Linked DNA regions of Tamandua tetradactyla. The protein of the gene in region 1 interacts with the protein of each later gene in a biochemical or structural test. Links are inferred from orthologs where the notes say so. Each region holds a gene or a part of one and is shown in the gene's direction. Other genes may lie near its edges.

Region 1 (16,655 bases):
GATGGAACAAGAAGAGAATTTGGGGAAGAAACATGAAGAAAAGGATAATTTTCCCTGTCCATATCATGATTTTGTGTGCATTAAATTTTCACACAGTGCCTAACCTCGATTCTATTTTACTTCAGTCTCAATGACAGAAGAAAAAAAAAAAGAATACACTGGAGGTCACTCTTATGCATGTTTCAGTCAGCCATTGCTACCTATCATAACTTGCCAAACTCCAACCAAAACCATTTCTGCCAATCCTAAAGAATGCTTAGGGCATTATATAAGATTCTACAAAGTTTCCATGCACAAGGGTAATTTCCCAAAACCTACAACCTCCAGATGGGTCCCTGGACCAGATTACTCCTGAAATGCAGAGGGGCTAGCACTTCCAGAACATCAACTAGTTCCATCCCCCTATCCCATATTATCAACAGCCCCTTCCAACATGAAAAAGTTGGAATGGCTGTCGCCCAAATAACCCTAAAGAGTGGGAGAAAGATCAAAGATGATGGTGAAGCTATACAGAAAAGGCGAGGTTAAACAAATGAGTATGAGTGCTGAATCATTATACTGATATTTCTTTTAGCCTCTAGTACCTTAGAGCAGCTAGAAATAAAAACCTAAAATTGTGGAATTCTAACACATACCAAACTCTGGAATCTGTTCTACAACTAATTGTTGCTATGTGCTTTGAAATGTATTGCTTTTATGTATTGTGTTATTTAAAGAGAAAGAGGAGTATAACAGAGAAGTTAGGATTAACAAATGAGTATGACTGCTCAATCATATTGATATTTCTGTTGGTCTCCAGTGTCTTGGAGCAGCTAGAAGAAAAAATGAAAAATCGTGGAACTGTAACCCATACCAAACTTTAAAATCTGTTCTATAACTACTTGTTAAAAATGTACTTGGAAATTTATTGCTTTTTTTGTATATGTGCTATATTTCATAATTTTAAAAAGTTTAATAATAAAAAGATTTACTTGTATAACTTGAAAAAAAAAAAAGAACAATCTCAAATTGGTGATCCAAGCTCAGATCTAGAGGAACTAAAAAAAGAAGAGCTAACTAAACTCAAAATGAGCAGAAGGAAGAAATTAAAGATTAGAGTTGAGATAAATGAAGTAGAGAATAGAACAACAGAATCAACAAAATTGGCAAGCCTATAACTTAAACTAACAGAGAAAAAAGAAGAGGATGCAAACAACTAAACTCAGAAATAAAAATGGGTGCATTACTACCAACCCCACAGAAATAAAAAAGATTAGAAAGATACTATGAAAAATTGTGCCAATAATTTAGATGTTAGATAAAACGACCATCCTAGAAATAAACTACTGACACTGATTCAAGAAGAAATGGAGCTATCAACAGACGAATAACAAGAAAAGAGATTGAATCAGTAAAGATAAATCTCCCAGTAAAGAAAAGTCCAGACCAGAAGGCTTCATTGGTGAATTTTTCCAACATTAAAAGGATACCAATTCTGTTTGAATTCTTCCAAAAATCAAGAGGAGGGAACACTTCCTTACTCTATGAGGCCCCCATCACCCTAATACCAATGTCAGATAGATATTACAAGAATAGAAAATTGCAGACTACTATCCTATATGTATATGATGCAAAAACCCTCAACATTATACTAGCAAACTGAATCCAATGGAACATTGAAAGGATTATAGACCACAATCAAGTGGGACTTATAAAAGGAATGCAAGGGTAGTTCAACATGAAACTCAACCAATGTAATACACTACATTAATAGAGGAAGGAAAAACAGTCAGCTCAACTGAGTTACCAAAGGTAGTTTACAAAATTCAGCATCTTTCTTGATAAAAACACTCAAAAACTAGGAATGGAAGGGAACTTCCTCAATAACATGAAGGACATTTATGAAAAACCCACAGCTAACATCAAAATCCATCATGAAAAATTGAAAGCTTTCCCTCTAAGATCAGAAACAAGACAAGGATGCTCACTGTCACCATTACTATTCAAAATTGTACTGGAAGTTCTAACTAGAACAATTGGGGAAGAAAAAAAATGACATCCACATTGAAAATGAAGAAGTAAAACTTTTCCTTTTACAGATGACATGATCCTATCTGTAGAAAATCTCAAGGAGTCCACAAGAAAGCCTCTAGCCCTAATAACTTCAGCAAAATGATGAGTTACAAAATCAATATGCAAAAATAAGTTTTTGCTGATTTCTGTACACCAGCAACAGCAATCCAAAAAGCAAATAAAAATATGACATTTACAATAGCAACTAAAAGAATAAAATTTGTGATATAAATTTAGCCAAGAATGTAAAGGACCCTAATATGGAAAACTACAAACCATGACTGAAAGAAATAAAAGAAGACATAAATAACTGGAAGGATATTTTATGTTCATGAATGGAAAAATTAGTATCATTAAGATGTCAATTTACCCAAAACCATGTACAAATCCAATATAATTCCAATAAAAATTTCAACAGCCTTCTTTACAGAAATGGAAAAGTTAGTCATCCAGTTCATATGGAATTGCAAGGGACCACAAATAGCCAATCCATCTTGAAAAAGAAGAAAAAAATTAGAAGACTCACACTTCCTGATTTCAAAACTTATTAGAAATCTACAGTAATCAAGGCAGTGTGGTACTGTCATGAGGACAGAGACATAGGCCAGTGCAAAAGAACTGAGAATTCAGAAATAAACTGTGGTCAACTGATTTTTTTACAGGAATGCTAAGTCTACTCAATGGGGAAAGAATAGTCTCTTCAAAAAATGGTGCTGGGAGAATATGTATACCTATATGCAAAAGAATGATGGTAGAGTCCTACCTCGCACCAGGCACAAAAATTAACTCAAAATGATCAAATAATAACTAAAATATAATTTGATAAATATAAGAACTAAAACTGAAAAATATGAGAAGAAAATATGGGGGAATATCTTCGGAACCTTGTATTAGGCAATGGATTCTTAGATTTTGCACCAAAAGCATGAGAACAAAATAAAAAATAAATTTAAAATTTTTGTATATTAAAGGGTATTATGACAACCTACAGAATGGGAGAAATTTTTGGAAACCATATCTGGTAAGGGTTTATCATCCCGAATGTATAAACTGCTCCCACAGCTCAACATCAGAAAGGCAAAAAAATAAATAAATAAAATGCAATTTAAAAGTGATCCAATGATTTGAATAAACATTTGTCCAAACAAGATATACAAATGGCTAATAAGCACATGAATAGATGCTCAACATCATTAGCTATTAGGGAACTGCAAATCCAAACCACAATGAGATACCACTTCACAATAGAATGGCTATGATTAAGAAAAGTGAAAACAGTAAGTATTGGTGAGGATGCAGAAAAATAGGAACCTTCATGCACTTGGTATAAATAAAAAATGGTGCAACCACTATGGAAAACAGTTTGGCAATTCCTTAGAAAGTTAAATATAGAATTACCGTATAACTGGCAACCCCACTTTTTGGTATATACCCACAAGAATTGAATGCAAGAACATGAATAGATAGTTGACCATTGTTACAGTCTAACTCTTGGAGGACTTGGGTTGGGGCAGCCTGAAAATCAAAGGACATGTCAGGCACAGAGTTAGACATGAGTTTTATCAGGACTTTGAACAGAAGATTCTTTCCGATGGTAGCTGGTTGGGAAATGGAAGTTAGTGCTCTGCAAAAGGGGTGAGGAAGATTTAGAACAAGGGCGTGAAAACAGAATTTCAGCAGGGTCTTGTGACACAGGGGGTTAGAGGTTACCAACAGTGTTCAAAGTGGGGAGAGATTAATGCTTTGTTTACAATATTATCTGTACATTTTTTCACCACCACCACCCACAGGAGACTGTGGCAGATGGTCAAGCTATGTAAATAGCCTTGTGGGAGCATGGTGAAATTTGCTTTTTGTTCTCCTTCCCAGGTGAAGGTAAAAGCAAGTTGGCCTTAAAGGGAATACTAAAGAAGGCATTAGTTAAATCTAAAACAAAGTGATAACAACATAATTGAGCGCTAATTCCTTGTAGTATAGAGGCAATCTTCAGAATACTGCATACAAAGATGGCATTACTTTAAGCTCCTCTGAATGGAGCACAGTAGCTTTTGTCACATGTACTGCCTTGTTAGTCATCCAAGCAGGGGCCATGTTATGGCTGATGGTGTTTCTCGGTCTCCTTTTTTTCTCACTCAAATTTAGTTGTCCTACTATCTGCTGCAAAACAGTTAGCAACCCCACTGGAGTTTTCAGGACTTCCCCATACTCTTGTGGTGGTTCCCATTCATCTAGAGGGCAGCCACCCCTCTGCACATGGACTATACAGGCCAATTTGGGATTTCTCCCACTGATTCTCCCTTCCAAAGACTCGTGCCTGCTGTTGCAAGTAGCTCTTTGGTCTCCTGGCTGGCCCATCAATTGTCCCAACCCAGCTCTCAAAGAGCTAGGGTCAACACAACCCCAAGACCAGAGAACACATCAAACACATCAGGCATAGAGTTAGACATGAATTTTATTGGGACTTAGAAACAGAAGATTCTTCTCAATGGTGACCAGTTGATAAATGGGAGTTAATTCTCCACAAAGCAGGGTGGGAGAATGTAAAGGCTTATAATGGTTTAGGACAAGGATGTGAGAACAGTTTCAGCAGGGTCTTGTGATACAGGAGTTTGGAGGTTTGTTATCAACAGTGATCAATGGAATGGAGTTTTTTTTTTAATTTTAACTTTTTTTATTAATTAAACAAATTAACAAACAAAACATTAAGATATCATTCCATTCTACATATACAATCAGTAATTCTTAATATCATCACACAGTTGCATATTCATCATTTCTTAGAACATTTGCATCGATTTAGAAAAAGAAAAAGACAACAGAAAAAGAAATAAAACGATAATAGAGAAAAAAAGATTATACATACCATACCCCTTACCCCTCACTTTCATTTACCACTAGCATTTCAAACTAAATTTATTTTAACATTTGTTCCCCCTATTATTTATTTTTATTCCATATGTTCTACTCTTCTGTTGATATAGTAGCTAAAAGGAGCATCAGACACAAGGTTTGGAATGGAGTGTTAATGCTTTGTTTTTGATACCATCTGTACATTCTGCCTCCCCCCTCCCTGAGGAGATATGATGACCGTTGACTTCTGTCCTGGTCATTGTAGGCAGCTATGTGCGGTAACTTATTCTCAATATGGAAGGGAAGCATGTGCCCTGGGTTTCCACGATGATCAATATTCATGATAGTACTTATCTCAATAGCCAAAAAGTAGAAGCAACTCAAATGTCCATCAACAGATGAATGGATAAACAAACATGGTATATACATACAATGGAATACTATTCAGCCAAAAGAAGGAATGAACTTCTGATATATGTGACAAAATGGATGAAACTTGAAGAAATCATGTTGAGTGAAATAAGCCAAACAGAAAAGGACAAATACTGTATGATTTCATTTATATGGAAATATTAGAAAATGCAAAGTGGTAGAAACAGAAAGTAGATTATAGATGACCAGGGGTAGGTGTGTGGGTGGTCAGGAATGGGAAATAATGCTTATTGGGTACAGCATTTTATTTGGGGTGATGAAACATTTTGTAATGAATGGTGGTGATGTAGCACAACATTGTGGATGTAATTAATACTACTAAATTGTATATTAGAAAGTGATTTAATGGATAATTTTATGTTTGTGTTTTTTTTAATGCATGGAGGAGTAAATATGACTGACCTGTGGATTGCCAACAAATCTGGTGGTGTTTGTGTTTTTTTAATGCATGGAGGAATAAATATGACTGAGTTGTGGTCTGCCAACAAATCTCGCGTGCCTAGAGAAGAGGGAATTGGGAGAGTTAAAGGTGGACATATGTTTGAGCCAGATCCAAAGAGCTTTGTAAGCGAGCAAAACTTTGTCCAAGGCAGGGGGTAGCCACTGTAAGATTTTAAATAGCAAAAGAACATTTGTGAAATTATTTCTTTAAGGATCCCTCCTAAAGTGTTAGGACTTTTTTTGGTCATTCAAGTCCCAGTGCCTGATGCATAATAACATTCTCTTTGTTAACAAAGATTTGCATCTTAGAAAGTTTACTGACAGCAGTATGAATCAATGTTGAGATTGGAGTCAGAAAACCAATTCAGAATTCCTTGGCCTGTAGTACCCAAGATACCAAGATGGCTCGAACTAAGCATTAGCAAAGAAAACAGATGGAAGAGAGCTAGTTGAGAATGGGCAATATTTGAGGCTAATTAAAATAATGACTGATGTGGAAGAGTTGAGGAGGAAAGAATAAAGAGCGACTCCAGATACTTGCCAGCATTAATTCATTCAACAGACATAAAAAACACTAGAGATAGAAAGTCAATTAAGACATAAGCCCTGCCATCAAGACGTTTATAGAGTTGATTAAACCAACCATTATGATATTATATAAATGGTACTATGTATGATAGAGACACATACAGGAACTCAGAGGCGGGATTAGGATGTGTAAATAAGTAGGAGATCAGGGAAGACTTCCTGAGAAGGTGATCATTGAGTTTTGCAGGGCGAGTTATCTTACAAAATTGGATAAAGTTGAAGACATGCTGAATTTCTAGTTGAGTTATTAATCAGAATATGTAATTCAGAAAATCTAATACCTAAGTCATATATAGCTTCAGGGGCAATGTCAATTGCCCCTGAAGCTCCAGAGCCTACATTCTGACTTCAGGCATTGATTTTTTCACTTTATAATGCTTATTATTACTGACTTCCTCAATCAGGCAAGAAGGCCTAATGAAATTAACATTAATTCAATATTTAGTGCCTGTTTTGCCAAACACTGTTCTAGGGGCTGGGGATTTAACGCTGAACAAAATAAAATCCTTTTGGAGAGTTTATATCCTAGTAACAGATTAATTGCATGTATTTTTCCAAATAATACATTAATATAAGTCAAATCAAGAGTTAAATTGTATACAGTGAAGTCTCCCTCCCACCCCTGTCTCCAGTTTGTCTAGTTCCCTTCCCATTTCACACATGTACCTCTAGGTTTCCTTTATAGTCTTCCAACAATTTGTAATGTACATGCACAAAAAATAAATTTGTATTTTCTCCCAGGGACACACATTTTTTTCTTAAACAGATTGTTTTTCACTCAATGAGACTGTGATTTGTCAATCCCTAATTAGGCCACAGTTCCTAATCTGTACTGTTTCCATAATACAAGAACTGTATGCTGTGGACACAGAGATGTTCAATAAATGGTCTTGAAAACCTGGTCCTCACCAGCAGTCCCCATTTCCTATCTCCCGCTGCCCCTTCTGCTCTTCTGAATGAACCTGCACTCTCCAATGTCACCAATAGATTCCATGGCAACAAAACCTAGTGTGTTTTTTTGTAAATCCTTATGTGGCTTGACCTCTTTGCAGCAACTGACGCCGGGTTGCTCCTTGAAACACGTTCTCTTTCCAGGGCTTCCATAATAGTATGCTCTGCTTTTCCTCCCTCCTCCGTGGTTGCTCCTTCTCTATCCTTAGGTTTCTTTTAGATTCTCTTCTCTATGTTTTCCTTTCCTCAAGATGATCTTATTCACTTCAATAGTTTCAGCTACCTTTTTTATGTGACTCCCTGGTTCTACAGCACAAACCAGCCTCATGATCTCCAGACCCAGACACTAATCATCACCACTTACTTGAATGTCTTACAGATATTTCAAATTAAACATCACAAAGATTTAAACTTTTCACATTCTTCTTTTCCCAAAACATTGCTCCTTCTCCAGTATTCTTTATATCAATAAATAACACTCTTTCCCAAGTGGCTGCCTAGGATAGTACAGTGGTTTGGAGCTGTACGTACCCCAGGAAAAAAAAAACACAACACAAAACACATGTTCTTAAACTTAACCCATTCTTGGTGAGTGTGAACCCATTAAAAGTGGGATATTCTGATGAGGGTCCATCAGTTAAAATGTGGCCAACTCAATCAGGATGTTCTTAATCCTGTTACTGGAGTTCTTTATAAGCAGAACAAAAGTCAGACAGAAAGAGAGAAAGCCACGGGAAACAAGAAGCTGAAGTTTAACGGAACCCAGAAGAGAAGGGAGAGCCAGGACTGGCAGCTATTGCATTGCCACACAACAGAAAAGCCAGAACCAAGGATCACTGGCAGCCAGCCACAGAATGCCAGTCTCTGGGACGAAAGCATCACCTCAATAATGCCTTCATTTGAACTTTTTCTTAGCCTTAAAATTGGAGATGGAGTGAGGCCATTCAGAGTGATAACTAGGAAAATATCACTAATTTACATAGTTCATATATTCCCATTGTATAAGCCAAACCATTTGTGCTGGTTTGAGGTTATTGTGTACCCTAGAAAAGCCATTTTCTTTTTCCTAGTCCAATCTGGTGGAGGCAGACCAATTGTGGGTGGGACCTTTTGATTAGATGGGTTCCATGGAAATATATCTCTGCTCATTCAAGGTGGGTCTTAATCTGTTTACTGCAGTCCTTTAAGAAGGTCCCATTTTGGTAATTCTCAAAGCTGACACAGACACTTTTGGAGATGAAGAAAGAAACACCCCCCCCCCCCCCCGAAAGCTGTTTGAAACTAGAAGCCCGGAGAAAAAGCTAGCAGCCATTGCCATGTGCCTTCCCAGCTGGCAGAGAAACCCCGAATGTCATCCCTGCCACCCCATTTCTGGTATAGTACATTTCTGGCAGCATTAACAAACTAAAACACCATTGCATGGTATTTACTTGAATAGCTAAGGAAATAAAGCAGATACCCAGGAGTGTTCTCTGAGTCTTCCATATCTTTCTCCCCACTCCCTAACCGAATTATTTTGAGTGTCCCTATTTCTTAATTATCACTCTGAATGGCCTCACTCCATCTCCAAGCCACTATCCTAGTCCAGGTCACCATCATCATCGAGTCCAAGATTCCTTCACCAGCAACTGCTCTCTTCTGGGACTACAATGATCTATCTGAAAAATAAACCTGGATATGTCTCTTTCTCTTTAAAATACTTTGTTTAGTTCACCATTAACCTTAAAAGGTACACCTTTCTTAACCTAGTTTCAATATGTAAGATTTGCTCCTAACCTATCCCTTCAGCTTCATCAACCACCAACACTTTACTGAACTTATTAGTTGACCCCAAATGATACTTCGTCTTCAGGGACAGAGTACTTTCACTAGTACAAGCTGCCTGGATTTGAACCCTGGCATGGCAACTTACTAGTTAACTTTGGACACTGTGCTATTCTTAACCCCTCTGGGCTGCACTTTTCTCACAAGTGAAATAGGGATGATACTAATACCTACATTAAAGCTTGCCATATTCAATTTGTTGATATACGGAAGGCTGGTACTAATGTCTAGCCCATAGTAAGCACTACATAAATATTAACTATTTTTTTTACACAAAAATGATACAATGATGCCTTTTCTCTGAGGTTTTAAGTGGAAGAGGCCGTTAGATATTAAATATTTATATGAAAAATATAATATATGAAAAGCACACAGTAAAGTGAAAAGGAAAAAAGACCATAAAACCCAATGGTCCTTATCCAGAGCCTTATCCAGATGGCTTAAAATCCAACAGCAAGGGTGGAAAAGGAAGAGGATCCTCCAGACGGCAGGGGGCGCTGCACTAATACGAGCCAACCAGCTATCAGGAGATGGAAAGCTGTGCACAAAGATCACGTGTCCTCACGTTTACCGCCCGGTGTTCACACGCTCTGCGCTCCACGTGACTTGCATTCCAGGAGATGATTGGTCTGTGCCAGACACGTGAACAGGGGGAGAACAAGGCGGAGCGGGGTGGGCGGAGGGGTGGGGCCAGGGGCGGGGCTGGAGGGGGCTGGTTCGGTACGGGGGCCGTTGGCTCTGGACAAATAAACATGGAGTCCATCTTCCACGAGAAAGTGAGTGTCCGCATTCGGTGGGGCGCTGCCTGCGGCGCGGTGGCGAGCTTGGAATGTAATATTGCCGTCTTCCGGAAGGCTGGGCTGGGTGGGACCTGAGTCGCCGTCGTCCCGGCTTTACGGGGCGAGGGGCCGCTCCCGAGCCGCCCGCCTCCTCCGCGCTGGGAGGGGAGCTTTCCTGCCCCACTCTTAACCCCAGAGGCCCCTGCCCCGGGATACCCAGGAGCCCAGAACCCGGGACTTCCGGGTATCCGGGAGGGAGTGAAAGCAGGGCCCGGGGCACTTCGGAGCACGAGTTAGGGATGGCACCGAATGGATTGGCTTCTGCATTTCTCCGCCAGTTTGCGTAACCTTTTCGAAAATTCATTCTCCACACCCTGTCGCCCACTCCCAGATTCTAGCTACATTCTCCTCGCGAAACCTCCCTGACCCTTCCCAACTCCAACTCACTCCTAGTCCTGGCAGAATTAACTTTTTCTTCTCTAGACTCCTCAGTCCTGTTTTAGACTTTCCCAAACACTTAGATCCTTGGGCTTCAAGTCTTTCTCCCGCTTTAGGTCCATGAGCTTCCCAAGCGCAAGGACCTTGACTCGTCCATATGTAGGGTTTGACACTTAAAGAAGTAAAGGAGGAAGCCCCGTACTCCCTCCTCGTCACAAGAATTTTTGTTACAGGATGTTTGGGTTTGGTTTCTTTGTGTACTCCCATCTTTCCTGTTTAGGAAGCCCGCTTTGTTACTAGATGATAGAAGTGGACTGGAATAATTTCGTTGTGGTGGTCTGCCTAGCCTATTCTCGCTTTGATTCTTAAATGACCACCCACTTGAAGTTATTGTTTGTGGCATGTGGAGAAACTCGTTTCTTTAAAAAAAATTTTTTTAAGATCTTTTCATTTAGGGTTTTTACATTTATGTACCTGGTCTTAAAATTTTGTTTGTATTGTGATAACAGAATCTCATCTTTGCTCACATACAATTATCAGTTCATTCGGGTATGAGTGAAACCTTCCTCAGGACAACTTTTGCAAATGATAACTTGTTTCATAACAGTTTCATGTTTGAAAAGGGTTACTGGTGAAGATGTTATTTATAGGAACATAGGGTTTTTGTTTTATTAAATACTTGTAAATGTTCACTTATGCAAGACATTTAAAAATACACACATATGCACATACATGACAAAGACAAGAAGCATAGTGACATATGGGATGCTATGTTTTATAGAACACATTTCAGAAAGTTTTGAAACTCGAGTTGACATTTTTATATGTTGGGGAGAAAGGACTCATAGGTATAGTTACTGTTGATCTTTTGACTTGGTTGAAATGAGTTATGAATCTTACACCAGAGGAATTCAGTTACTTGGTTAAGGAGATTTATGTGAAGAGAACCCTGCCTGTGCGTATTTTTGTTAATTTTCAAAGGGTTTGGTGGAGCATCAAGATGTTTCGATATGTAATATTTTAAGCGTTTTCACACACTGCTGCATGAGAATTAAACAGTGTATTTTAAACAATATTGATTGTTACTACTTTGGATAGATTTCTGTTATGTTTACTACTGAACCATGGGACCAAAAGAAGCTGGGCACTAGCCTAATCTTCCCTAAAAGAAGTCCACCCTCAACTATTAGCAGTGTACAGATTTAAAAAGTAGGCTCCCTGCCCAACTACCAACACATACGTTTCCCCGCATCCATTTATATATGCTTAGCGAATGAAGGCTCTTAAAGTTTTTCAGGCATGTTTTAAGAGTGTGGAAAGTACCTCCAACCATAAGGCCCATCATTAATCCCATACACGGACTTTTCTGGCAATGTATGTGCTTTATATGCCATTTTCCAGGGTATTCCCTTCCTCCCCCCAACCCCCCACTCCCTTTAACCCTTGCTAGGTCCTGGGTTTGAAGAGCCAGAGAGTCACTTTTAGCCTTGAAGTTGTGTAGGCAGGGATACCTGCCTTCAAAGGGCCTTGCAACAACTTTCACTTGGAGCATTGGCTTCCCAATTTTCAAAGTTGTCATTTTGAATATTCAGTAGAATGTAAACTCAATAACTGTGTGGCTGTCACATAGTAGGCACTCAATAAATATTTAATGAACCAAGAAAGTTCTTTCAGCATTAGATGTGTATGATGCTGTTTATTTAAAGTAAGCAGTAGTTTAGGCCTTATAGATCATGTAGGGTCTCCATAGCATAGTCTTCATTGTTCTGTTTTGTTTCCAACCATTAAAAAATGTGAAAACAATTCTTAGCTACTAGCATGGTTCGAAATTGGCATGTGGGCTGTAGTTTGCTGACCCCTATCTTAAATCCTAATACTAAATGGCTGCTAACTGCTGGCTGGGGTGTTTGGTTTTAGTTCTGGAGACTGCCTTCTGTCATTTTTCTTATTGCTTCCTTTGCTGACTACTCTTGATGTGGTCACTGTGCCATCTGATTTTGGTAACTTTTAATGTAATGTGAACTGGGAGTGATAACCAGACTTGTTGAAGGCATATTTAAAGATAGTAAAAAGATGCTGAACATTGACATAGTGATATTTGTTATGCCATCTTTAGAATTTTTGAGGTTTAGGAAGAACCAAATTCCATATAAGTAAGTGACTTGTTGTGGTAATGGCACAAACTGAATCCACTGGCCTGGTTGTGAACCCACAGCTACTATCTGTGTGATCCTCAGCAAGTTACTTATCTCTGTGATAGTTTCTTCTTCCATAGCATGAAGATAAGGTGTCTACCTCAAATTTATGAGTGCTTAGCATGCTGTCTGGCATAAAGTCAGTGCTATAGGAGTGTTGACCATTGTTTGCTGAATCTTGTAATGAGTGAGGGACACTAAGAGGAGGTGAAGAACTGCTGCTGGATTGATTACTTGCCTTTGATTCATCCATTTCTGAGGCACCCTTAGATTTTTGCCTGGTTTCTGTTTTGGTTAGTAGTATCACTGGGTGTTTGAACTAGTTTCACGTTGATCTTGAAATCTTTTGGGGGGAAGTGATTTGATTGCAGTTCCTTTTTGTGTTGTTGTAAGATATTTGGTAGAAGTGGAGATTCAGTTTGCTCAATTTCTGATTCTGTCATCACAAGACAATAAAGTCTGAGCCTGAAATCATGGGATTGAAATACTTATTCTAGCAAATCAGAGTTCTGTTTGATTTTGGTTAAAGCTTAATAATGACTGATGATTCATAAAGAGGAGGCTGGGAATAGTTTCTTGGGGAAAATACACCATCTTGGGTGACACCATTGTATGATATTTTTCGGTCCATATAGACTTTGATTCATTTTATGACTTAAAAAGCAATTTCAGATTTGGGCTGGACAGTCTGTGCTTTGAATCATTTTTCCTTCCATTAAATCATAGTAGAAGTACAGGACTTGCTGATATTATTTCCTATAGCTATACAGTTTTATTAGACAAAGTTTACTTTTAAATGCTCATTTTTCATATTTTAAAGATAATTTTAATATAGATTTTTTTGATCAGATATTTTACTGTCATTAAATCTGTGATATTAGTATGATGACCATAGTTTGAGAAACCCAAACTATGAGGCATGTGGCCTGTCAGCAGGACAGAAGATTAGTTTTAATATTGTTCCCAGAAAATCCATTGCTGGTCACCAGTTTAAGTAGTTCTTGACGTGTAAAATAGCTGTTTCTTACCAGAGCCTTTTTTGTTGTTGTTTGGACTTTTTTTTTAATTAACTGTAACACATATAGGAGTACACAAATCTGAGTTTTTTCACAAAGTGAACATTCATGTATAAACAACACTTAGATCATTTACCTGCAACCTAGCAGCTCCTCTTGTACCTCTTCCAGGCACTGACTTTCCCTCCACACCCTCCGCTGCGAGGGTTACCACTGTCCTAAATTCTAACATCATGGATTATTTTTGCCTGTTTTTTATGTTTTTGATTTTGTTTTTTAGTTTGTATTGAAGTAACATATATACGACATACAATTTCCCATTTTAACTACTTTCAAATATACAAGTCAGTGGTATTAATTAAATTCACAATGTTTTGCCACCATCACCGGTTTCACTTATTTTTGAGCTTATGTGAATAGAATCATACAGTGTGTACTCTTTTGAACATGTCTTCTTTTATTTAACATTGGTATAGTTAATTCATTCTTGTGGATGTATAGTATTCCTTTGTAAATGTATTTTATTCTTTCTACTTTGATGAAGCTCTCATAATGGCAGCCATTATGAGTAGAGTTTCTATTGACAGTGTTATACAATGTCTTTTGGTAAATGTATATTTATGTGCAACAGAAATATGTGCATTTCTGTTGCATTATGTAACTAGGAGGAAAAGTGCTAGAATGTAGGGTATGCATATGTTGAGTTTTAGTTTTTAACATTTTTTATTAGAGGAGATGTATGTTTACAGAAAAACCATACAGAGCATAGAGTTCTCATATACTGCCCTCTAACCCCACCCCCACACAGTTTTCCCTGATGCTAATGCTTTGCATTAGTGTGGAACCTTTGTTACAATTTATGAAAGAGTAGTGTTATAATTGTACTATTAACTATAGTCTGTAGTTTACATGAGTTCGCTGTTTGTGTTTTACAGTCCTATGATTTTTTTGCAGTTTTCTAGTAATATATATACAACCTAAAATTTCCCCCATTTAGCCTTATTAAATATATAATACAGTGCCATTAATTACGTTCACAGTGTTGTGCTACCATCACCACCATCCTTTACCAAAACTTATGCATCACCCCAAGCAAAAATTTTCTCCCAAGTAAGCATGAATTCCTCATTTCCTACCCCTATTGGGGCCACTGGTAACCTATATTCTTGTCTGTTCTAGTTTCTGACTCTACGAATTTATCTAATTATTTCATATCAGTGAGGTCATACAATACTTGTCCTTTTTTGGTTTGGCTATTCATTCAACATGATATCTTTAAAGTTCATACATGTTGTCACATGTATCAGAACTTTGATCCTTTTCATGATTGGATAATATTCCACTATATGTATATACCACATTTTGCTTATCCATTCATCTGTTGATGGACACTTGGGTTGCCATCTTTTGGCAGTTGTGAATAATGCTGACATCGACATCACAAATATCTGACTCAGTTCCTCCTTTCAGTTCTTTTGAGTACAAAGCTAGAAGTAGGATTGCCAGGCGTTATGGTGATTCTGTATTTAATTTTGTTAAGAACTGACAAACTGTCCAGCGGCTGCAGCACTTTACATTCCCACCAGCAATGAATGAGTGTTCCTAATTTTCACATCCTCTTCAATATTTATTTTCTTTTTTTAGTAGTAGCCTTTCTAATGGGTATGAAATGGTATCTCATGGTGGTTTTCATTTGCATTTCCTTAATGGCTAATGATGTTGAGCATCTTTTCATGTGCTTTGTGGCCATTTGTAATCTTGTTTGGAAAGATGTCTAGTCAAGTCTTTTGCCCATTTTTAATTGGGTTGTCTTTTTATTTTTAAGTTGTAAAAAATCTTTATATTATATATATTTATTTTTAAGTTGTAAGAATTCTTTATATTATATATATCCAAACCATTATTGGATAAGTGGTTTCCCAACATTTACTCCCATTCTGTAGGCTTCTTTTTACCACTGTGATGAAGTTCTTTGATGGACACAAGTTTTTAATTTTGATGAGGTCCCATTTATCTGTTCTTTCTTTTCTTGCCTAATTGTTCTACTTAGAATTTCCAATGCAATGTTCAGTAACAGTGGTGACAGCAATGTCTTTATCTTGTTCCTAAAAGCTTTCAGTCTTTTACCATTGCATATGATGTTAGTGTGATTTTTTTCTACATTCCCTTAATCATGTTGAGAAAGTTTCCTTCTAGTCCTAGTTTTTGAATGTTTTTATGAATAAGGGATACTGGGTTTTGTCAGATAACTTTTCTTTATCAACTGAGGTGATCTTGTGTTTTTTTTTCCTTCATTCTAGTAGTTCATTATTACATTAATTGGTTTTCTTATGTTGAACCACCCTTACATTTCTGGGATAAATTCCTCTTAATCACGGTATATAATTTTTTTAATCTGTTGGAGTCAGCTTGCTAGTATTTTGTTGAGGATTTTTGCAGATGTATTCATAGGGAAAGTTGGTCTGTGATTTTCTTTCTTGTGGTATCTTTATATAGCTTTGGTGTTAGGATGGTGTTGGCCTCAAAGAATGAGATGGGAAGTGGTCCCTCCTCTTCAATATTTTGGAAGAGTTTAAGTACGATTGGTGTTAATTCTTGAAATGTTTAGTAATAAAATTCACTAGTGAATCCATCTCCTCCTGGGCTTTTTTGTTGTTGTTGGGAGGCTTTTGATTACTGACTTAATATTCCTGTTGCTTGTCTGTTGAGATCTTCTGTTTCTTCTTCTGTCAATATAAGTTTGTTTCTAGGAATTTCTTTCATCTAGGCTATCTATTTTTTGGCATACGGCTGTCCTTGGAAATATCCTTTTATACTCCTCTTTATTTCTCTGGAATCAGAAGTAATGTACCCTCTTTCACTTCTGATTTTAGTTATTTGCATCCTTTCTCCTTTTTTCTTTCTTTTCTAGCTAAGGATTTGTTGATTTTACTGATCTTTTCAAAGAACCAACTTTTAGTTTTCTTGATCCTCTCTATAGTTTCTTTGTTGATTATTTCATTTATTGCTACTCTAAACTTTGTTTCTTTCCTCTGCTCACTTTAGTTTAATTTACTCCCTTTTTCTGTCTTCTAGTTGTAAGGTTAGAT
Region 2 (16,204 bases), on another chromosome or scaffold:
ATTTGAAACTTCTGCTCTGCAAAGTACACACAAAGAAAAGAGAAGCTAGAGACTGGGAGAAAATATTTGTAGAATATATATCTGATAAAGGACTTCTGTAAAAAAAATATACAGAATTCTATATCTGACTTCCGGGCCAAGATGGTGGCTAAACAATGTGCGCATTTTAGTTCGTCCCCTAGAACAACTACCAAATAACCAGAAACAGTACAGAAAGCTCCTGGGGCCACGTCAGTGACCAGACACACAGCGTACCCCAGTATGGACTAGCTGGACTGGCTGCAAGCCCCCCCCAGAACCGTGAGCTTCCCAAGCTGTGCATGGCAGCCGGCGCCCCTCCCCCACAGACTGCTTCCGAGAGGGGAAAGGAAAGAGACTTTACCAGCAGCAGGGGCTGAGCCCAACCAAACATCAATTGTGGAATTAAGTAACAAATTCTGACAGCTAAAAATAGGCCCCCAGCTCAGGTGAACCTGGTCAAAGCTGAGGTTGCTCATTTTAGCCCCAGCGCCAAGGGGGCAGGGCTGACAAAAAAAGGAAAAAAAAGAAGGAAACAGGTTTTTGTGGCTGTGTTTCTACAAAGGCTTGACTGCCTTTGGATATAGAGGCAGGGCTCCTCAGGCTGCATCTGCCCCAGGCATAGGCAGAAACAAGCTCATTTGAGGCCTTGTCTGGAGCCTTTGCCTTCCGCAGGGGAGGGGTGAAGCCCAAGGAATCCCTCCCTCAAGGAATTCAGACCCCAGGGCTTGGTAATTTGAAGCCATTAAAACCAGCCTACAACCTCTCCTCTGTTTCCACCACACCTCCAGCAGGGAGAGTCTGCCAAAGTTAAAGGTGCCGCATCATCTTATGCTGGTGGGACCTGCAGGCAGACAAGTGCCACATACTGGGCAGGATAAGAAAAACAGAGCCCAGAGACTTCACAGGAAGGTCTTTCAACCTGCTGGGTCTCACCCTCAGAGAAAACTGATGCAGGTGACTCTTTCCTCCTGATAGGAGGCCAGTTTGGTCTGGGAAAATCTGGCTGGGGTCTATAACACCTAAGTAGACCCTCCTAAGTGTGTGTGGGGGGAAGGCACCATACAAGCAGGGCAAGAAACAAGAAAACAAGAACTGAAAAATTCTCCTCTGTTAAACAAAACTTATGCTAGAGGTCCAGATGAAGCAGAACTGAATGTCAAAGAACAGACAGACAACAAACTCACCCAACAAGAAAACCCTAGATAAAAGAAGTGAAAGCAATCTCCAGAATAAACTAACTAAGGCAATTAAATGCCTAGATGCCAGCAAAAAATAACAAATCACACTAGGAAAATGGAAGATATGGCCCAGTCAAAGAAACAAACCAACAATTCAAATGAGATACAGGAGCTGAAACATTTAATTCAGAATATATGAACAGACACGGAAAACCTCATCAAAAACCAAATCAATGAATTGAGGGAGGATATAAAGAAGGCAAGAAATGAATAAAAAGAAGAAATCGAAAGTCTGAAAAAACAAATCACAGAACTTATGGGAATGAAAGGCATGGTAGAAGAGATGAAAAAAACAATGGAAACCTACAATGGTAGATTTCAAGAGACAGAGGTTAGGATTAGTGAACTGGAGGATGGAACATCTGAAATCCAAAAAGAAACAGAAACTATAGGGAAAAGAATGGAAAAATATGAGCAGGGACTCAGGGAATTGAATAATATGAAGCGCACAAATATACATGTTGTGGGTGTCCCGGAAGGAGAAGAGAAGGGAAAAGGAGGAGAAAAACTAATGGAGGAAATTATCACTGAAAATTTCCGAACTCTTATGAAAGACTTAAAATTACAGATCCAAGAAGTGCAGGGTACCCCAAAGAGAATAGATCCAAATAGACATACTCCAAGACATTTACTAATCAGAATGTCAGACGTCAAAGAGAAAGAGAGAATCTTGAAAGCAGCAAGAGAAAAGCAATCCATCACATGCAAGGGAAACCCAATAAGATTATGTGTAACTCTCTCAGCAGAAACCATGGAGGCGAGAAGACAGTGGGATGATATATTTAAATTATTAAAAGAGAAAAACTGCCAACAAAGAATTCTATATCCAGCAAAACTGTCCTTCAAAAATGAGGGAGAAATTAAAACATTTTCAGACAAAAAATCACTGAGAGAATTTGTGACCAAGAGACCAGCTCTGCAAGAAATACTAAGGGGAACACTAGAGACAGATATGAAAAGACATAAGAGAGAGGTGTGGAGAAGAGTATAGAAAGGAAGACTATGAATAAAGGTAAAAAGAAGGAAAATTAGATATGACATATAAAATCCAGAAGGCAAAATAGTAGAAGAAAGTACTACCCATGCAGTAATAACACTGAATGTTAATGGATTAAACTCTCCAATCAAAAGCCTGGCAGAATGGATTACAAAACAGGACCCATCTATATGCTGTCTCTACTCAAAGGACACGAGGCCAAGGACACAAATGGACATTTACACACCAATGTTTATAGCAGCACTATTAACAATTACCAAGAGATGGAAACAGCCAAAATGTCCATCAACAGATGGGTGGCTAAACAAATTGTGGCATATACATACGATGGAATATTATGCAGCTGTAAGACAGAGTAAAGTTACGAATTACGTAACAATATGGATGGACCTTAAGGACATTATGCTGAGTGTGATTAGCCAAAAATGAAAGGTCAAATACTGTATGGTCTCACTGATATGAACTGACATTAGTGAATAAACTTGGAATATTTTGTTGGTAACAGAGACCATGAGGAGATAGAAATAGGGTAAGATATTGGGTAATTGGAGCTGAAGGGATACAGATTGTGCAACAGGACTGAATATAAAAACTCAGAAATGGACAGCACGATATTACCTAACTGTAATGCAATTATGTTAAAACACTGAATGAAGCTGAATGTGAGAATGATAGAGGGAGGAGGGCTGAGGCATAAATGAAATCACAAAGAAAGATAGATGATAGACTGAGGTGGTATAATCTGGGAATGCCTAGAGTGTATAATGATAGTGACTAAATGTACAAATTTTAAAAATGTTTTTGTATGAGGAAGAACAAAGGAATGTCATTACTGCAGGGTGCTGAAAATAGATGGTAATTAATATTTTAAAATTTCAACTTATGTGTGAGACTAAAGCAAAAAATGTTTATTTGGTGCAAAATTTATATTTTGATTAGTTCATCTCCTAATAAAACTTATGTAGATAGTTGGTTGAACAACCTAAGTACATGGAACCTTGGGTAGGATATGAGATGTTGGTTTGTCCAGAGTGATACCAAGATGAATCCTAGAGTGATTTGATCAGTGAGTGGAAAAGTATTTGCAAAGTCCCCTTCGGAGAATGGTGAGAACGGGGGAAAATTCAACCTCTCCAAGTTGAATTCTTGATATTCTCACAAGCAGTGTGGACAACCAAAGCTATAGGCTGAGCCCCCAGTCTTGGGGTTTGTTCATATGAAACTTAACCCCACAGGGGATAGGTCAAGCCTACTTAAAATTAGGCCTAAGAGTCACCCTCAAGAGAACCTCTTTTGTTGCTCAGATGTGGCCTCTCCAGCCAACACAACAAGCAAACTCACCACCCTACCCCTGATAGGTGGGACATGACTACCAGGGGTGGACCTTCCTGGCAACGTGGGACAGAAATACGAGAATGAGCTGGGACTCAGCATCAAGGGATTGAGAAAAACCCTAGAATGAGCTGAGACCCAGCATCAACAGACTGAGAAAATCCTCTTGACCAAAACGGGGAGGAGTGAAATGAGACAAATTGTCAATGGCTGAGAGATTCCAAACAGAGTCGAGAGGTTATCCTGGATGTTATTCTTACGCATTTTAAGTAGATATCACCTTGTTATCCAAGATGTAATGGAGAGGCTGGAGGGAACTGCCTGAAAATGTAGAGCTGTGTTCCAGTAGCCATGTTTCTTGATAATAATTGTATAATGATATAGCTTTCACAATGTGACTGTGTGATTGTGAAAACCCTGTATCTGATGCTCCTTTTATCTACCTTGTCAACAGATGAGTAGAACATATGGAATAAAAATAAATAATAGGGGGAACAAATGTTAAAATAAGTTCAGTTTGAAATGCTAGTGATCAATGAAAGGGAGGGGTAAGGGGTATGGTATGTAAAATTTTTTTTTTCTGTCTTCATTTTATTTTTCTGTTGTCCTTTTATATCTTTTTCTGAATTGATGCAAATGTTCTAAGAAATAACCATGATGATGAATATGCAACTATGTGATGATATTGTGAATTACTGATTATACATGTAGAATGGAATGAGCATATATTAGGAATGTGTTTCTTTCTTGTAATTTTTTTAATTAATAAAAAATTTTTTTTAAATATACAAAGAACTTGCGAAACTCAACAATAAGAAAACAAACAACTCACTTAAAAATGGGTAAAACATTTGAACAGACACCTCACCAAAAAAACATACAGTGGAAAATGAGCATTTGAAAAGATGTTCAATATCACGTCATTAGGGAATTAAAATTAAAACAACAATGACATGACACTACACACCTATTAGAATTACTAAAATTCTAAACACTGACAACACCAAATGTTGACAAAGATATGAAGCAACAGGAACTCTCATTCATTGCCGCTGTGAATGCAAAATGGTACAGCCACTTTGGAAGAGAGTTAGGCAGTTTCTTAAAAAACTTACCATATGACCCAGTAATTGCACTCATAGATATTTATCCAAATGAGTTGAAAACTTATATCCACACAAAAACCTGCACATGGATGTTTAAAAGCAGCTTTACTCATAATTGCCAAAAATAGGACGCAATCAAGATGCCCTTCCAAAGGTTAATGGATAATCAAAGTGTGATATATCCATACAATAGAATATTATTTAGCAATAAAAACAAATGAGCTATCAATCCACAAAAAGATGTGGAGGAAATTTAAATGTTTATTGCTAAGTGAAAGAATCCCATCTGAAAAAGGCTACATACAGTACAGTCCAACTATATGACATTCTGGAAAATGCAAAGCTATAAAGACAGTAAAAATATCTGTAGTTGCCAAGTGTTCAGGGAAAGGATAAGAAAGATGAGTAGGTGGAGCACAGGTGCATTTTAGGGTAGTGAAAACATTCTGTATGATACTGTAAAGGCAGATATATGACATGTACTTGTCAAAACCCATGGAACTATATGAGGCAAACCTAATGTAATGGACTAACGGACCTTAGTTAATAATAATGTATCAATATTGGTTCATCAGTTATAACAAATATACTACACTAATGCAAGATGTTGATGATAAGACAAAGTATGGAAAGCAAGAAGGCATATGGGAACTCTCCATACTTTCTGCTAAACTTAAATTTTCTGTAAACCTAAAACTACTCTAAAAAATAAAGCCTATTAAAAACATATGAAAACAAAAAAAATACAAGAAAACAAATAAAAAACATATATGAAGCAAAGGAATATTGAAATGGATGTTCAAATATACATGAGTGTACTTTTTCCCACAAAAGGGAGGGTAGTTCCATAATTGGGCAGAATTCATTTGCATGTCTTAAAAGGAGAATTATTTTACATTGCTACACTTATCTGCAACTAAGAATTTAAGATAATTAAAAAACAATGAAAGGATAGAATCAGATAATATGGAAGGAGATGTTCTAAACCAGAGTTTCTCAACATCAGCATTATTGATATTTTGGACCAAATAATTCTTTGCTATGGGGAACTGTCCTGGACAGTGTAAAATGTTTAGCAGCTTCTCTGACTTGTACCCAATAAAGAGCAGTAGTAACCCCAACCCCCTCAAGCCATGAAGCTATGACAATCAAAAAATGTCTCCAGACATTGTCAAATGTCCCTTGGGGTAGGGGTGGGAGGCAAAAATTACCCCCAGTTAGAACCATTGTTCTAGACAATGCAATTTTCCATTGAAACACAAATTCTTCCCTATATCCAGAAGAAGCAACCTTTTCCAATCCATACATCTTTAGCACATAACCCATTTCTCTCTGTGAGCTGACAGAATCGCATGCTGTCTCTCCCACAGAGCGGTTAAAGAAACAACTAGCATGGGCACTGTTCTAAGTGTCCTACCAAGGAGCAACTCAATGCTCAATGAATTCCTCCAACTATTATTGTTCTCATTTTAGAAATGGGGAAACCGAGCCACCGAAATGTTAGCTAACTTGCCCAAGAACAACACACAGCTACTAAATAGTAGAGTTGGGATTCAAACCCAGGTGGGCTGGCTTCAACATCTATGTTTTAACCACAGACTCACCTCCACCCCCACCTCCAACAGAGCCTGGCATGTAATAAGACGCTGAAAGATGCCTAATCAATGAAGGAATCAAGTTGCTAGCTTTGGAACTCTTTCCTAACCCTGAGCCTCCTAAGGCCGTCCCAGCTGGCCTGCCATTGCATAGCTAGATGCCCCAGAGTTAGAGGACCATGAAACCTCCTTGATTACAGTTCAAAATGAAAAACAAGCACCCTTGGTTAAATTTGAATTTCAGGTAAACAAGGAGTGGTCTTTATTATTATTATTATTTTTAGTATAAGTATTTTCTGTGCAATATTTAGGACATATATATATAAAGGGGGAATTTAATAAGTTACAAGTTTACAGTTCTAAAGAAGTGAAAATGTCCAAGTAAGGCGCCAACAAGAGGTTACCTACACTCAAGAAAGGTGGATTGGTCTGGAACACCTCTTTCAGCTGGGAAGTCACGTGGAGGACAATATTCTTAATACACAAAAGTATTCCTTGTTTATCTGAAATTCAAATTTAGCTAGGCATCCTGTATTTTTATTTGCCAAATATGGCAACTCCACTTGTGATATTATAGCTGATCAGTAACAGTGTAGCATCGCGACTTCTAGTCGTGCCCCGTTCACTTAACCTCTCTGATCCTCAGTTTTCTCATCTGTAAAATGAGGACAGTACAGTACCTTCTTCAAAGAGGTGTTGGGAGGATTAAATAAGGTAACATATATAGAGCCTAGAGCCAGTAGTACGGTGTCTGGCACAAAGCAGAGCCCAATTAATGGTAGCTAGTCTAATCCTAGCTCCCTAATTTCCTACTGACTCATAAGGTGTTTCCAGGATAGTTAACAATTATCCCAGCCTCGGGTTTCTCCCAGCCTTCCTCCCCGGAAAGTAGGAAGTTGGCAGCCGGGTCTTGGATTGAGCCGCAGTAGCCCAGCCCCGCCGCGCCCCTCGCGCCGCCCCGGGAGCGGCCGGCAGGTGGCAGCACAGGCCTCGCGTGCCGCGGTCCCCGGCCGGACCTCCCCAGGCCCCGGGGGGAGCCGCGTCCCGGGCCGCGCCGCCGAGCAGGCCGGGAGCGGCCGAGGCCACACCCAGGCCGGGCGGGGAGCGTTTCCCCTTCTGGGTGAATCATCTTCCGCAGCTGCCGCTCCCGCAGTCCCGTTGCAGCGCGCCCAGGCCTCGTCAGCGCCCCTGACCCGCGCAGGGAGCCAGACGCCCCCACCCTCGCTCCTTCTCGGGCCGGGGACCAGCGCCATGGCGGGAATCGCAGCCAAACTGGTGAAGGACCGGGAGGCGGCCGAGGGGCTGGGCTCCCACGAGAAAGCCATCAAGTACCTCAATCAGGACTACGAGGCACTGCGGGACGAGTGCCTGGAAGCCGGCGCGCTCTTTCAGGACCCCTCCTTCCCGGCCATCGCGTCTTCCCTGGGCTTCAAGGAGCTGGGACCCTACTCCAGCAAGACGCAGGGCATCGTGTGGAAGAGGCCCACGGTAGGAGCGCGGGCGCGGCCGGGTGCAGGGCGGGGAGGGGGCCCGGGCCCCCCGGTGCCAGGAGCACCCCGCGGTGTGGACGGAAAGCAGCACCGGGGAAAGTCGCAAACCAGAGTGAGCCTTCCGGCTGACTCGCCCCGGGCTGCCTCCATCCCGTTACCCTGGGCCCCGAGGGTAGCCTGGATCTCCGGCGCTCTGCGGTCCTCAGAGGGGTTTGGCTCCCTCTTCCACTCCCAACACCCAGGACGGGTCGTGTCGAGGTGGGTCTCTGTCCTCAAATCCCATTGCAGGTCTGCTAGGGGAGCCACCTTTGAACTTTGACACAAGGGGGGAGATAAGTTTTATTGGACCCTGGTGGGAAGATGTTGGGAAGTGGGTTGGGGGGTTCGCAAGAGGCAGTCTCTGACAAAGTCAGTCTCTACCTCCGCTTATCTCTTCTTCAGGAGCAGGAAAAGTCCAGAGCCCACTTCGTTTTGTGACTAAGTATTGTGTCACACAGTTGAAGTGGTTAGATGTATCACTCAGAGTTTTATGTTCACTTTTCTAAATGGGATTTAGCAAAAACGGCCTGTAATGTTTAAATTGGTGATTAACAAAAGACTTGGGAGATGCTGCAAAGAGCAAGTTTATCATCCTTCCAGTGCCCCAGAAACCTCACCTGGAGAGCTTTTCCAGCCCTTACACCTGAATGTCCAGCCTCTTAATCTAGATGTCCATTTAGTTTCCCAAGAAACCCCTGCTAGCTCCTGCCCTCTCCTATAGGACATGTCACCAAGCTACCTCCACCATCCCTAAATGAGGCTTCCTGGGAAAGCCAACCTTTAGATTCCTAAAGGAATAAGCATCCCTGCCCTGCTTCTACTCCCCTGAGCCTCCCAGGTCACCCCACTGTTATATTCAGACAAGTCACCCAACAGTTGGAGATGCTTGTGGGACTTCTGAATGAGGATATAGAGATCTTGAGGGTTGTAATACGTTATGGATTGGGACCTCTTCATTTCAGGGCAGCTACTTAGAGTATGGCAGACTGTACTACACAGCTGAGGGGGAGGTGTAGCTGTTATTATTCTCATGAGGCAGTTGAAGGCGTTGAAGCTTCAGGTATACATGGTGGTACCAAGTTTCTAACCTGTGCGTGTTTTGAGCCCTCAACTTTACGGTTGCCCTCACTGCTTCTGTCTGTCCTACCACTGTCAGACTCCACTGTGGTCAGGCAAGAAAAAAGAAAACTTCCAGCTGGATGTGTCCATTACCAAGACTTTAGCAGAGCAATTTCAAGGGAAAGATGGCAGTAGAAGCCAGCTTGCATTAGGCGGAGGAGTAAATCTACTCCAGAGAAAGGTACTGGGAACAAGGGAAGAGAGACAGGAATGGGTAGAGCGGGGCCTAGGGTGGGAGAGGCTGGTATTTTCTTCACATGAAAGCACCTTATATGTGCTCTATATTGAGCCACCAGAGAAGAAGGAATTAAAGATAAAGAAGAAAGGAGGTAATCATGAGACAGGATCCCTGAGGAAATAGGAGTATAGGGTCCTTGGAGGACAGGGGTCTGTCTGGTCAGCCTTGGCGTGAATAGGGACTGCTCTTCCTCAAACAGAGGTTGGTTCTCCTGTGGGCAGGGCCAGAGGGCTAGAAGACAAAAGATTTTACAATATTGGCAAGAGAGGGCCTCCAGGAATGGGAAAAGGAATAAAGCAGAAAATGGCTGAAGTCACGGTGAGCTCCTAGGGCTGGTGCAGGAAGCATAGTAAGGAAAGAACTGTCATGATTGGAGGATGTCACCTCAGAAGCTCCCAGCTACAGACAGTCGGGTAAGAGCAAGGGCAGGTATTTCTATTCCCCATTCTTCCCCCTGAGGGAACCAAGCCTCTGAAGTATTCACAACTCACTTATTTTGCACTGGTTGAATTCAGCCTCAAACCAACATCTCCTGCCTCCAAGCTCAGGGATTATCATCATCAAATTTTTTCAAAATAATGCTGGTGGGAGGTAACATTTATAGAGTGCTTACCAAGGCATATTTACATATTTATTTCATAACCCTGAAAACCTCTGCAGTAGATATACTTGTCACCATCTCCATTCTACAGATGAGGAAACTAAAGCATAAAAAGCTAAGTTTCTTACCTAGCATCATAGAGCCCATCTGAAGTGAGTTTGAATCCAAAGCCCAAGCCCCCGACCTCTTTCCCCTGACTGTTACAGCCAGTGTTTAATGCAATGCCCTAATGCTGTGCACAAGTTTTGGCTTTCTGGATCATCTCTAAACACCACTCTGAAATTTGACTTTTTTGGAGAGACTGCCAGAGGCATGAGAAAGTTTCTGAAACATGATGGAAAAATCCTTCAGGGGAAGTGCTTGGCACATTGAGGATTATCAGTATGAGTGTCCATAATAAAGAGGCTCCTAGCACTAGGCAGCCAGATAAGTGCTCAGTTGGCAGGCCTCAGGCAATGCAGGTTTCTTTTGGCTCGCAGAAAAGCATTCTCATTGCCCCTGGCATTCCCCAAACAGATTGACCTGAGCAGGGATAGAGACAATGCAGAGGCATTAAAGGCATTTGCTCTGCAACTGAGTGTGGCTCACGAAGAGCCTCTACAATCCAAGCCAGCTTGGACAGGGCCTGCATCCAGCAGATCTCAACCAAGAAATTGGGACCGAGGCACCCGCATATGATGCTCAAACAGGCATGAGATGGAAGAGCAGCTTGTACAAACCAAGGTTGTCCAAGCCAAGAACAACCCAGATTCATGCCCCCAACTTCCTCTGTGGCTTTGGGGTGGAGCTCTTATGAATCAGGAAACACACTCAGAGAGCTACTGAAAGAGTCTGAGCCAGAAGTGTTCAAGGTTGGTTTCATCCAGCCACTTGTGGTACGGTCGTCCCTGGGGTTTTAGTGCCCTTGGAGTCCTGTTACTAATCAATTAGTGGCTGTGCAGATGTGAAGAGTGTGTCATCAGAGTAAGACCGGTGAATTCAAATCCCAGTACCAAGCACCATCTATCATAATGAGTTGTGTAACTTCAGAAAAACCTCTTTACCTCTTTGAACCCATTCCCTCATCTGTAAAATGGGGATAATACCCATCTTGTGTTCTTGGAAGAATTGCATTAGATAAAGCATCAAGCACAATATGTGAATCCAAAGCCCAAGCCTTCAACCCTTCCCCTGATTGCTACAGCCATGTTTAATTCAGTGCTGTATTACTGTGCAAAAGGGTCACTTTTCAGAAGCATCTCTAAGCACTACCTAACATATGGATGATCCAAGTATTATTGGGACATCCCATAAATCATGGAAGAATTCAGAAGGCTCCTAATGATACACTTCCATGCCCTCAAGAAATGTGTACGTGTTAGGAAGACAAGAGTAATACCCATGAACACCAAAAGACAATCTGCCATTAAGTGCTAAACTGCAGAGTACAAATACTGTGAGTATCAGAATCAAGGGGAGGGGTGTGGGGATAGATTACGAAGGAAGGCTTCATGGAGGAGGTGAGAGTGAGCCTTGAAATGTGGGAAGATAAGAGAAAGGAGAGAACAAGGCAGGAAAGGGAGGAGTTCCATGCAAGCAAAACAGCTGCAGCGTTATTCACAACAGGCCAAGTTTAAAACATCGTGACCATCGATGAATGGATGAATGGATGAATACAGCATGGTATATACATACAATAGAATATTATCTAGCTTTAAAAGGAAATGAAGTTCTGATCCGTGTACAACTGAATGAACTCAGAAAACATCATAGCCAGTGAAATAAGCCAGACACAAAAGGACAAATATTGATGAATTCACTTTTATGAGATATCTAGAATAAGCTAATCCATGAAGATAGAAGGTCAATTAGAGGTTACCAGGAGCTGGGAGGATGGAGGAATGGGGAGTTACTGCTTTATAGGTAGAGTTTCAGTTAGGGGTGATAAAAAAGTTTCTATAATGCACAGTGGTGGTGGTAGCACAACATTGTAAATGTTATTGTCACTAAAGTGCACTCTTAAAAATGGTGAAAATGGCAAATTTTATATTATATATATTTTACCATGTTTTTAAACACTTTGGTAAAATTGAGAAAAAAAATACTTGCATTCAAGGACAGAGGAGCGGGTACAAGCATGGCAGACAGGGTGGCTCCAGGTTATAGAGGGCCTTAGAGTCAGAGGAGACTGGGCTTGATGCTGCCACAGCCACCAGGAAATAGCAGGTGGATGTAGGCTCTAGGCAGTGGGAATGTGTGTGGTCGGTTACTGCTCTTCTCAGTCAGATGCGTCCACCACCCACACCCATTGGGACCCCCGGAGCAGGGTTCTGCCATGGCAGCAGAACAGGGGCTTCCCTTGAGGGAGACATTTCCCAGGGGGGAGGGAAAGGGGGAGAAGCGGTCCAAAGTACCTCTGGGGAACTGAGGCATCCAAAATGCAAATGTGCATGCACGGTGGACTAATAGGTCTGTTGGTCTCGTTCCCAGGAGATCTGCGATGACCCCCAGTTCATTGTTGAAGGAGCCACCCGTACAGACATCTGCCAAGGAGCCTTAGGTAAGTGGTGACATCCAGAGCAAGTTGTGGGGTTGGGTCTACAAGACCGGGGTGAAGGGAGTGACGGTGGCTTCTCTCCCTTTCAGAAGAAGCTTAGTGATTTCCATTTCCAGCTTTCTGAGCTCCTGGAATTTCTTGTCCCCAAAGGTAGCAGTTCTACCCCCAACCCCATGCCAAGCACACCAATGCATATGTACAGGATTGAGGGACTCCTGGGCCCCAGCACTGGGCTAGTTCCTGGGGTTACAAAGATGCTCCCCCGGAAGAATTGAGGAGCTCCTGATTTCAGCCACCAATTGGTCTCTGTATCCTCTGGAGCCAGTGTCACCAGGTGGCCTGTGAAATGGTCAGGGTCTGGGCCGAGGGCCGGGTGGGAGGACACCTCCAGGCCAGTAACAGGTTTAAGATACCAGTGCTCTGAGGTTCAGGGACAGGGGAAGGTGACTCAGTGTGAATGAAGAGAAGACCCTAATGCTCACTGCTGAGAGGAAGTCCAACTACCACAGAGTCTTCAGTGTTTGCAAGACAAGCTCACCATGGTTTCACAACAGTAGGAAGCGGTGTATTTCCTTGTAAAGGCAGTTGGAATGTTTAAGTAAAGCTAACTGGAGTAGCTGAGTGTGAAGGTCTACAACTTTGCTCTCTGAAGGTGAGTTCTGATGTGTTTTTCTGGATATAGTGCTGTCTGTGGATTTGAACCCATAGTCCTCCAACTTTAGTATGAAAGCTACCAAAGAAGTCCCAGTGGGGGCTGGGACTATTATTTAAAATTCTCATAGAATCCACCCTTGATTTATTTTTGTTGATGATAAATATGGGTCTGTAATTGCTTGAGCAGATTATTTGTTCTGGTAAACGAAAAACTTGTTTCCTGCCACCAGTTTCAGCTAGCTCCCCAAACGAGTTCATCTTGTAGTCCCTTTTCTCACTTACCTAGCGGAGATTCTAATACTCATAATAACAACTAATATCGATTGAACATTTACTATGTGCTGGAAATTAAACTGTACTTGAGAAAACGCTAAGGTTTTTTGATAATTCCCATTTTATAGATGAAGATTCCGGGGTCCTAGTAACTTGCTTAAGGTCCCCTGAAGTAGGGACCTGGTGTGCAGATGCATTCAGGCGGGTCCAGGGCTTGTGTGCTTAGCTCCTGAGCTAGACTCCTGAGAAGGAGGCCTGGAAAAGTTCTCACCCCCGAACGGATGTCAGGCAGCTATGTGAATCATTAGGACAGGTACATGGGAGCCCGGTAGGAAATTCCTCTGAGGGAGACCATGACGCAGGACTGGGCAGCAGAACCAAGCTGATTTAAGTTCAGTGCCCAGATTCCTGAGATGCCAGAGCACGTTCTCACCTGCAGAAAGCATGGCTCCCCATTTCCACCTTCTGTCTCCCATTTCCCCCTCTCCCTCCAAAAGAAAGAAGGCCAGGCGTCCCCAGGTGTCTAAGGTGGGTGCTCTGTGGAAATCCATTGTTTAGAGAAGAGGGAAGATAATGGGGCTGGAAGTTGATGGAAACGTCACCCAATCCTGGAGGGCTTTAGAGACTCCAGAGACAAATGTAGCAACTGCCACACCTGTAGTAAACACCACACCTGTACTAAATATCTACTTCAGAGCTTAACAACATCTTCAGAGCCAAATTGCAAGTAATGAATGCCTGATGTAAGTCTTGTTTAAATACTACCAGGCCATCCGGAGAGGAAACAAGCAAAGCTTACGTTCCTGGGGCGGATTTCCCTCCTTGTGCACCAAATCAAATAAAATAGGGTTAAATGTAAGCCTTTTGAAAGTTTCTCAGTAACGGGCCTGTAATTTTTAAGGTGTTTTATACCATGTCGGCCTTTTTTGTTCTCTTGGCCTTTTTATATCGGAGGATCCTGGTTAGATTACAGACTTGGAAATGCCGCTTACTGAACTCTCACCCCGACTGTGACCATCACCAAGTCCTAAGAGGACCAGAAGTTTCAGAGACAGGGGTGTGGCAGTGCCTCCAGCCCATGGAGCCAGAGATGCAAGCTCAGGCTCAGCTTTGTTGGTCAGCTTTGTCGGGAGACTTTGGGCAAGTCTTTTAACTTCCCAGCACTCAGTTTCTTCGAAAACTGAGGAGGAAGGAGGGTGAATGAAGTGACCACGAAGATCCCTGAGATGTGGCATTCAACCACTCAAAGCTGTTCCTCATTCCTGAGGCTGGATTTTGTCTTAAAGCGTCTTTTATCACTAAAATGGAATAGTAACAGAGCCTGATGCTTGTATACAGTACATAACTTGGAGCATTTTTCATCCCATTATCTCCTGTAATCAACTCAGTTCTGAAGTAAATATTTTCACCCCACTATGCAGATAAGAAAACTGAGGCTCAGAGAGGGGAGGTTGCGCATAAATCCACACAGGTAGAAATTGCCAAAGGAATGAATCCTAATCTGATTTAAAATCCTGCCTTCTGACCATTTCTTTGAAACTCTTAACAGAAATTCAGCCTTGTAGGTATTGGAGAGAAGTACACCCTATATTAAAGTGCATGTTAAGTTTTCTACACCAAGAATTTTCGGTATGTGTTTTGACAAAGATAAGCAAGCTGGATTCAAAATGGATATTTCTGTAAACGTAATTTTAAAATCAGCACTTTTAGAGCTAACAGATGCCAAGAATCAGTACGATAGTGTTCCAAAAGGATTTCTTTACAAACATGATAATGGATAAAACAAAATGCTTACAACTACCTACCAGTACAGTCTCATGGAAGGCACTTTGAAATAACTTTCTGCTTTGTTAGTAAAATTCTCTCTCTCTCCAGAGCAGCAGGCATGTTTTAATTTATAAAGACTAACATTCAAAGATAGTGCTGAATTAAATGGTATTTAATATCTAGAAACCATTTTGGACCAAACAGTACGAAGTGTCAGAGTCAACATGTAGCAAATGAAGCTTTTCAATAAACAAGGGTGTAATATGAAAGCTGCTTTTTTAAGAATGAAAGCACATTCCATGTACGTAATGAATTTAAAATAATAAATTGAGGCAAACAGTTGAGGTTTTATTTTTAGAATAGCAAGTTAACTGTAAGTATTTTAATGTTAGTTTTGTTCTCTACGATCTGAGATCATGCTGAAGTGAGAAAAATATCCCCAAACTACAATTTAATTTGGTAAAAGAAAAGCTAAAGACAGTAATTCCAGCTACAATCTTTAGATCACCCTTGTAATGTGTTAATGGGTCCATTTTTCCTGGAATAGCTTAAACTGAAGCAGTTTCCCCTGTTTTGGAGATTTTGTAGTTAATTTCCATTTTGGCTATTGTTTGGAAAAGATGGGCTGTCTGTGTAGATATGAAGTATAGTTTTTCCATAAAACAGATGTTTATTCTGTATTAAAAATACCACTGTACTTGTTTTACACCATTTGTATACATGTGGTGATATTAATGCTGAACTGTAAAATTCAGGAATTAAAATGTGACCCTGTAATTCCATGAAAAAAAAAAATCCTGCCCTCTTTTCATAACCCCATGCTCCCCTCTTTTCATAACCCCATGCTCCCCTCTTTTCATAACCCCATGCTCCCCTCTTTTCATAACCCCATGCTCCCTTGAAGTTGCCGGAAGGCTGTGCTGAGAAATGTGGAGGTGAAGTTCTCAAAGCACTTTCTGTACCAACTTGGCTTTCTGCCCCGAGACTCACTCAGTTCACCAAGTGAAGCTGGGTGGGTGGTATCCTTGGACTTGTATTTTTCTCAAGGCCCTGCCAGCCTCAACTGTGCTGCCCAGCAATGGTTACTCTACAAACTCTACCCACTTTCCCAGAAAGCTCAGCTTTGAAGCATCAGCAAAAGTAATTCAAACCGTGTTTGCGGAACTCTGCTCAGACAATGAGCCATCTGCAGTGCAGA

The links.
Region 2: of the proteins of ATXN3 (region 1) and CAPN2, one has a biochemical effect on the other in vitro, tested with the Homo sapiens proteins (2 studies listed by BioGRID). The link is inferred for Tamandua tetradactyla from reciprocal best matches to the Homo sapiens genes ATXN3 and CAPN2.

Annotation. Positions count from the first base shown.
Region 1 is NC_135338.1:52,942,210-52,958,864, reverse strand, and holds the start of ATXN3 (ataxin-3), read left to right. Parts: upstream 1-9,814; 5' UTR 9,815-9,890; coding exon 9,891-9,914; intron 9,915-16,655. UniProt on the Homo sapiens protein: Deubiquitinating enzyme involved in protein homeostasis maintenance, transcription, cytoskeleton regulation, myogenesis and degradation of misfolded chaperone substrates.
Region 2 is NC_135328.1:137,669,985-137,686,188, reverse strand, and holds the start of CAPN2 (calpain-2 catalytic subunit), read left to right. Parts: upstream 1-7,385; 5' UTR 7,386-7,540; coding exon 7,541-7,777; intron 7,778-12,245; coding exon 12,246-12,315; intron 12,316-16,204. UniProt on the Homo sapiens protein: Calcium-regulated non-lysosomal thiol-protease which catalyzes limited proteolysis of substrates involved in cytoskeletal remodeling and signal transduction. Proteolytically cleaves MYOC at 'Arg-226'.